2 linked regions of the Nothobranchius furzeri genome follow. The protein of the gene in region 1 purifies or fractionates together with the protein of each later gene. This does not show direct contact. Links are inferred from orthologs where the notes say so. Each region holds a gene or a part of one and is shown on either strand. Other genes may lie near its edges.

Region 1 (3,827 bases):
TGAGAGCCTCCTCAACATGGGGGGGGTCTTCTGGTTCACCAACAACCTGATCAAGGTAACGAGAATGAATAAAGCATCCAATATGAGCTCAGATGGTATATAAACACCTGCTGTGTTGTTCCAGGAGCTTCTGAAAGAGACACGTCAGGAGTGGGCCACGCGGGTGGTGGAGTTGCTCTACAGCATCTTCTGTTTGGACACCCATCAGATCACCCTGACGCTGCTCGGTACCATTTTACCCAACCTGCTCACTGACTCCGCCCACTGGCACAGCCTTTCAGACCCTCCTGGGAAGGCTTTGGCCAAGTAAGAGCAGCTCCTTTCTGCTGGTTAAATCTGCATTTCAGCTGCTTTGCATTAACTTTCTTCCCCCTTCAGGTTGTCTGTGTGGTGTGCGCTCAGCTCTTTCTCCTCTCACCACAAAGGCCCCCTCTCAGCACGGCAGAGAAAAAGGCAGAGAGAAGACATAGAGGTAAAACTGCAAAGGCCAGGAATGGCATGTTGAAATGCATGAGTGATGTAATGTCATGGTTGCGTTTCATGAGCATCTTTCTAACCACAGGACTACAACAGCCTCTTTCCTCTGGACGATACTCAGCCGTCCAAACTCATGCGGCTGCTGAGCTCCAATGAGGATGAGCCTGCAGCTCTGTCCAGTCCAGGTCCGTCTAATAAAGTTTGTGTTTGGTTGCACGCTTGAATTATGGAGCTTCAGACATTTGTCTCTCGGTCTGAGCTGGGGATTATTCAGATGCTTTTTCTAATATCCACTTCCAAACCGGTTTGTCCCACTCAGAAGGGATAAACTTGGCTTCCAGTGATCCCAGACGTGAACGGTGGCGTTAGGTTTGCAGGCTTGCAGGTTCTAACTTGAGCCTCATGTGGGGTTAAAATATTGCCAGATTAAAACTCTGAGCAACAGCAGTGTTGTATTGTTACTCAATTCGTCATCACATGACCAGTATAATGAGCTTCCAGATCACCAGCTCTGGAATTTTTAATTATTTTCCCTGTTTTTGGCTGCAGCTTCGGAGACAAATTCCCAGACAAGACGTTGCATGACTCAGGAAAAACTTCAAGGCCCTTTACACTTTGCTGTCAAGACTGAAAGTAAAAGTGCTTTTGTTCTTTCAAAACCTCAAATAAGAATCATTTAGAAACTATTCTGGTCAGACCAGCGGCCGTGCTCAGTGATTTTTGGAGTGCAGGCTTCTTAATTACAGAACAACAATACAAAATCAGAATATAAGACATGGTTTAAATGGCACCACAGACACCTCGAGTCTTAAATAGATTTGGAGTATTTTCATGTTTAAGTGATAAAACTTTTTCCTTTGATGTAGCTCAGGTGGTTTATCAACCTATCATTTAGCCGCTTAAATGTATATTTATCTACAAACAAACAAGGAGCTTTAATCAGAGGGTAAAACAAAGTAAGATGCATACTCTGAGGTGGGAGTGACCAAACGCTCTTGCGTTTAAACAAATGGGACTAATAAGAAGGAGCCGTGACCTAAAACTTGTTCTGAAGGGCAACTTGTTTTACTCTTTGTTTTCAGATAATTCAACAGTTAAGTTATGTCAGCATTGGTTAAGTTGTTTGGTTTTCATGACACTAACCCATCGTGGTTATTTTTGCTGAATGCAGTCCGCCGACTGCACTGTCAGCTTAACCGATAATGATACTGCCACCAACGTGCTCCACAGTTGATGGTGCTGCCCACCCCTTTACCCCTACAAACACATCAGGTGATTGTGGTCAGAGCAGCTTTGGAAGGTCATGAGATTTTCAAACGCTTCACTCGGTCAGATTTGAGTTATTGGGTTGATTTAGGTGTCAGTGTGTGCCATTTAAAGGTTCCATTTCATGCTATGTTAAACCTTTGAGAACAAAGGTAGGCAGATTATATGGTAAAATATTACCATTGGCAATATTGAGATGTCATTTATCTTAAATACAAGTTATTTTCTTCAGCATGAGTTGATACCCAGAAATAAAATGCTTAATTTCAGTGAAACTCCGCCCACGCCCGCTCTGACAAAACGTGACTACAACAGTGTCATAGGTGAGTCAGTTGCTGTGTTTGTTATAAAATGGCCTGTATTTGATATAGCGCTTTCTAGAGTCCTGGAACCCCTCAAGGCACTTTACAACACAATCAGTCATTCACCCATTCACACACACATTCACACACTGGTGGGGATGAGCTACGATGTAGCCACAGCTGCCCTGGGGCGCACTGACAGAGGCGAGGCTGCCGAGCACTGGCGCCACCGGTCCCTCCGACCACCACCAGCAGGTAGCGTGGGTTAAGTGTCTTGCCCAAGGACACAATGACCAACAGACTGAGTGGGGCTCGAACCTGCAACCTTCCGATTACGGGGCGAGCACTTTACTCCTGTGCCTCCGCCGGGGGGGGGGGGCAGCTCAGGAGGTAGAGTGGGTAATCTGAAGTTTGTAGGTTTGATCTTGGCTCCCACCAGAGAATGCCGCTGTTGTGTCCTTGGGCAAGACACTTAACCCACCTTACCTGCTGGTGGTGTTTGAAGGGACCGGTTGCGTCAGTGTTCAGCAGGCCTCGCCTCTGTCAGTGTGCCCCAGGACAGCTGTGGCTACATCATAGCTCCTCCCCACCGGCATGTGAATGGGTGAATAACTGATTGTGTTGTAAAGCACCTTGGGGGGTTGTAGAACCCTAAGATGGAGCTATACAAATACAGGCTGTTTACTATGGCAGGCCAGCGGTTAAGGCATCTGACTGCTGTCTCAGTTTTGCCATGTGCTGACGTGGGTTCGAATCCCGGTGGTGTCGGAATAAATTTATTTAGCCACCTGAATCAGATTTCATGTTTTCATATTTTAGTTTAATTATTTTCTGTAAAATATTTTGTGTCTCTAAAGATCTTTGAATTTGGTCATTTTCAAGCAGCATTTTAGTTGATTTACTCTGCTCACCTCACATAGACTCACTCTGGCTAAATGACCAAAGAAAGTAAAAAAACAGATTAGTCCTTACCTTTTAAACAGTTTCCCAATAAAAGTGTAGCTAAAAAACAGTTACTGCCAAGGCTGGGGTGCGAACTTACCCAAAACTACATGCCCGCCTGGTACTCTAACCACTGGACTACCAAATCTGCTACATGACACCAGTTGCCTAAGCCAGTGGTTCCCAACCTTTTTTGACGCTAGGACTCCTGAGCCGTTTTCTCGCACCATGAGTACCCCCTTAGTCAAACGTGTTGACGATTCCCCAAAAGTGTATAACTGGGTGCTTGGTAAAAGCTGGTGTATCATTCATTTGGGTAGAAATGGGCCACGTGGCCTAAGATCTATATCACAGTATGTTTCTTTCCTCTATTTATATGTTTATGTCAAAATTAGGGGTTTTACATTCTCACATACCAGATGAATTTCAGCACAACAAATACTTCTAAAAATGATTGAAGAACATTAAACATTCAAAACATACTTAAAAATACATCTTTCTAGTAGTTTTTATGATGTTCTGATTCATTCTTCAAACAAAGCAACACAAAAATGCTCCTGAAACAAATAAAGATGAAGATATTTAAATAAAATTCAAGCTAAATGGGATGAAAACACAAAATTATAGTTTGAAATAAAGTGAAAACATGTAAAAACGGAAATAAGATTTCCAACTTTCCTCATTCATTTAATCATTTTTTATGTTTTTCATTTTGTCATAGAAGTTAAGTGTTGCTTCAGTCAGGATAACTGACGGTAAAATGATTTGTTGCTTCGTTTTTTGTCGACATTAATAAATAAGCTGGAGGTTTATTCTTTCTTCCTCTGGTAGAGCGATGCT
Region 2 (4,294 bases), on another chromosome or scaffold:
ATTACAAGAAGCTATTCAGCCTAATTTTGACAAGGTGCAGCTCTGGCTAATGCAGAACAAACTTCTTTTAAATAAATCTAAGACTTACTCCATGCTGTTTCACAGAAGTAGAACTCTATCTGACAGTGACAGGACTCTTAATCTTTATTTTTTGGATTCCTCCCCGGTTCAACCGTCTGTTAAAATGAAATATTTAGGAGTTTGGCTAGAGCCAGAGCTGTCTTTTAAATTTCACATTCACACAACATGTCTTAAGGTCACACGGTGTTTACGTATCCTTTATAACTCAATAAATTGCTTTGAACCTATTGTTCGAAAGTGCATCGTCACTCAGCTTCTGTTACCGATCATTGATTATTCTGATATTTTATACCAAAACTCAACAGTTTCTAGCCTGCGGTCTCTTGATGTCGTCTATAACAGTTTGTGTCGTTTTATTTTGCGGTGTTCATTTAACACTCATCATTGTTATATGTATGATCTTCTTGGTTGGCTTCCTTTAAAAGCTAGACGACAATTTCATTGGTTGATATTTATGTTTAAGTGCATTTATTTTGATTTTCCACTTTATCTAAAAACACTTTTGGTTCCCATTGATTCCTTGTATTCAACCCGCTTAACTACTCTTCCATCATTTGTTGTTCCTCGTTTTAAAAAGGAGGTGGGTAGACTCGCCTTTTGTGTTAAAGCTCCTCAGGACTGGAATAAATTACCCGCTGAATTAAGATCCATCTCAACAATTCGTAAATTTTCCCGCACTGTTTATGCTTATGTAAAGCCAAGCTGTAGTTGCTTTGTTTAATCTTTACTATGATGATTTTGTGCATTCAATGGCTAACATGCTGTATTTCGTTGCCAAACTTTGTATTCAATTGGGATACTACTTCACTTTAGATTTATTTATAATGTAATTTCTTGCCCTTATTTCTCTTTTAGTGCCTCACAGCAGTTTTATTTAATTTAATTTGGTATATAGGTATGTATGTACGTATGTACACTTGTTGGTATCTATGTATCCTTGCTTATGTGTTTATATTTACGTGTGTATATATATACATTTATACATATCGTTGATTTTACTATTATTTACTTTCCCCTTTTTTTTTTTTATTTCTGTTACAACTTTCTAACTCTGCCACCTTATTTGTTATTGGTTGTGTTGTAGGAGGACCTGCTCGAAAACGAGATGTTACATCTCAAGCAGTTTATCCTCCTGAAAAAACATAAGTTAAATAAATAAATAAATAAATAAATAATGTTCTGATTTTACTGAAAAACTTGTTCTGTAACAGTTTCTTTACTATTGTGATCAAACATATTTAATCTCAGTTCTGAGGCTGCTCTGTAAATAGTTTTCAGATAAACAATACACACATAGCAACTTCTGATCAATCCATATCAATTTCAGATTTAAAATAATGTATTGATGTAAACAACACCCACTAATTTCCAAATAATAAATAAGAGGTGCATTCATCTGTGTGTCTCCTTTGATCCGCATTAGTGATGTTTCCAGCACCAGAACAATGAAGCAAAGAAACAAGATTCCTGAGTTTACGTTAGTAATTTTATTTATTAGGTGCATCTGACCTGTTCTAGTTTTCTCTGAAATGAGATCAGACCAGTGCTTCTATGGGTTGTCTCCTCTCTGCACTAGAAACATGTACTTTATTATAATGTTCACTGTAATGCATCTTGATGTTCTCAACAAATAAATTAAATCAAAGATATTGGTCAATAATGCCAAATATGTAAATTTGTGTTTCAGTCATTTTTATACTGGCTTAAAAATACTTCATTAAGTCTACTAAGCAGGGGTGTAGAAGGTGTTTAATAGGGCCAGCCCAGTAATGGTCTTGGACCAAAATAAAGGGGGCAGAAGGAGATGTTTTTCCAGACGAAAAATTAAATGCCACCCCCCCTCCCCCTGCAAAGTGTGTCACTGAGAGTTTAAAACTAAAATTATTCTTGTGCAAATATTGGTGTATTCACCTTTAATACTAGTTATTAAAATGCAGCAGTTGCTGGATTGGTGCAGTTCAGAGTGGAGGGCATCAAATAAAACAATATTAACATAAAGGTGAGACGTGTTATCCCCCCCCCCCCCCACCAGCTGGAAATGATATTTTGCTTTTATGCAGATCGGAGTAGAGCTTTGGCACACGAACATTCACCGGGACTGATAACAGAGCAGGTCCCTCAGCGGCCGGGCCAGCAGACAGGGACACACAGGTCCTGTCCCAGGGACAGAAGCCACAGGGACACAACCTGTCTACGGTCAAACCGGAGGAATCCCGCCGTTTTGTAAGCAGGGACACCGCGGTCCGGTGAACAGACACAGAGCTAACGTCAGAACACAAACATCTCTGGTGAAACGTGTTGGGACAGGAGCGCGGCTAGAGGTGTGTGTGTGTGTGTGTGTGTGTGTGTGTGTGTGTGTGTGTGTGTGTGTGTGTGTGTGTGTGTGTGTGTGTGTGTGTGTGTGTGTGTGTGTGTGTGTGTGTGTGTGTGTGTGTGTGTGTGTGTGTGTGTGTGTGTGTGTGTGTGTTAGATGAAAACAAAAACACAGACACACTCTGGAAGGTTCGGTCTGCCGCCCGTCCAACACCAGCGCGGCCCGTGTGAACCCAAACGCACCGTGAGACCGGCAGGGCGAACGGAACCGGACCTCGGTGGTCTTACCTGTCTTTGCGCTTAGCTTTATAAACGTGTCCGTAGGTGCCTCGACCCACTTTGCAACCTTCATATTCGAACAGATCTTCTACTCTCTCCCGCTCGGCTGCCAGCTTTGTTTTGAAGTCGTAATCCATGTTAACCCATAAAGACGACTTAAATTACAACAAAATAAAATATTAATTATTACACGCATTAATTAAATAATCTGCTCGTTTTATTCCCCCACCATTTCCTTGTTTGGGATTTTGGTCTGCTCCGCTGTGTTCACTGGATCGTTGACGCTTCTAATTGGGGCGCAGTGCTTGCTGGGTAATGGAGTCTTCTGAGCTCTCGTCGCGACTCACTAGCTGTGAAACTAGAATGAGAAAAACTACAACCCGCGTTTCCCGCTCCCTACGGGTCCGCATGAGTGCTCGGCTCGCTAGTGGTCCAGACTTCTGTGTTGGACGCTTTTGTTCCCGAGGTGAGCGGTTCAACAACATAGCCTGTGATCATATCTCCAGGTCATTTTTAGAACATACATTTTGGAAACACACTGCTGCTGTCCCAGACCACGTTGTCTTTTGGGGGATATAAATAACTATTTTTAATTATTTTGTCCAAGCTATGAAAACCAAATAACTCACAATAACAGCATTTAACGATGCAAACACGTGTGTTAACATTATATGAAGTTAATTCGCTTTCTGTCCTGTTTACACGGTCCTACCACGTTTATTTTCTTGTGGCAATAAAATGGCACGTGAGGAAAATCAGTCTCCAGTGCGATTGGAAGGTTCCTCAACAAATCACAATGGACAACCTCTACTCATACAAGCGGATTGGTCAATCCACTGTGACGTAAGTCTTGAGGCTATAAAAGAGCTGTCCGCGGCTCGTTCGGTGCTTACACAGTATGGCCGGCGATATTAGCTAGCGCTCGCTAACTGTATTCTCTGCAAAAGGGAACGCGGTAACTTAAGAAAATTAACATCAGAATTACTTTAATGACTGTACCTCAATAAATTATAGTCAATCGAGAAAGGATTTATTAACATACAAACGTTGCGAACAACGTTTACACCTTTTTGTTGGGCGTCTGTTGTCTCATGATGGAGGAAAACGGTGCACATTTCTTCGAAGGGACCGAGAAGCTGTTGGAGGTGTGGTTCTCTCGGCAGGATGAGACCAAGGGGACCGGGGACCTCCGCACCATCCCAAGGTTTGAGTCCTACTGGGTTGAGTTCATGTCTTTCCGTGCATGCGAGCGTAATTTCGCGGTAACAGCGGCTGAGTCCATCATGGCTTCGCGGTTTAGTGTTAAATAACCAAATAAGCGTTCAGAAATGTTGTTTTCCTGTTGGTTTCCCCTCAGCAGCTTAGCGAACCTGTCTGTGGCCTAGCCGTCACCCACCAATCTGGCTAGCAACGTGAGCGAAAATGGCCTCCTCCCCTTTTAAAGTGTGGCTCTGTTGAGCTGAGTCATTCATTCTGAGGCTGTGGGCTGTGACCAGTACAGCGATCGTGCTGCTGCTGGACCCGTCAGCTACAACCGGGCAGCAGGCTGGCCTGCACACGGCTGCTTCGGGAACAGAAGGTAGAAACCCTCTGTTCTGTCTCGCTGGACGGTCCCGGGTGC

The links.
Region 2: the proteins of med24 (region 1) and cdk19 purify together in Homo sapiens (affinity purification with mass spectrometry; 6 studies listed by BioGRID and IntAct, counting the BioPlex papers as one, with this or other methods). This does not show direct contact. The link is inferred for Nothobranchius furzeri from reciprocal best matches to the Homo sapiens genes MED24 and CDK19.

What each region holds. Positions count from the first base shown.
Region 1 is NC_091756.1:31,519,000-31,522,826, reverse strand, and holds part of med24 (mediator of RNA polymerase II transcription subunit 24), read left to right. Parts: coding exon 1-55; intron 56-124; coding exon 125-306; intron 307-378; coding exon 379-472; intron 473-562; coding exon 563-662; intron 663-1,026; coding exon 1,027-1,110; intron 1,111-3,827. UniProt on the Homo sapiens protein: Component of the Mediator complex, a coactivator involved in the regulated transcription of nearly all RNA polymerase II-dependent genes.
Region 2 is NC_091742.1:28,596,320-28,600,613, forward strand, and holds the start of cdk19 (cyclin-dependent kinase 19), read right to left. Parts: upstream 3,013-4,294; 5' UTR 2,906-3,012; coding exon 2,903-2,905; intron 2,829-2,902; coding exon 2,683-2,828; intron 1-2,682. Other genes in the region: amd1 (S-adenosylmethionine decarboxylase proenzyme), read left to right, coding at 3,765-3,877.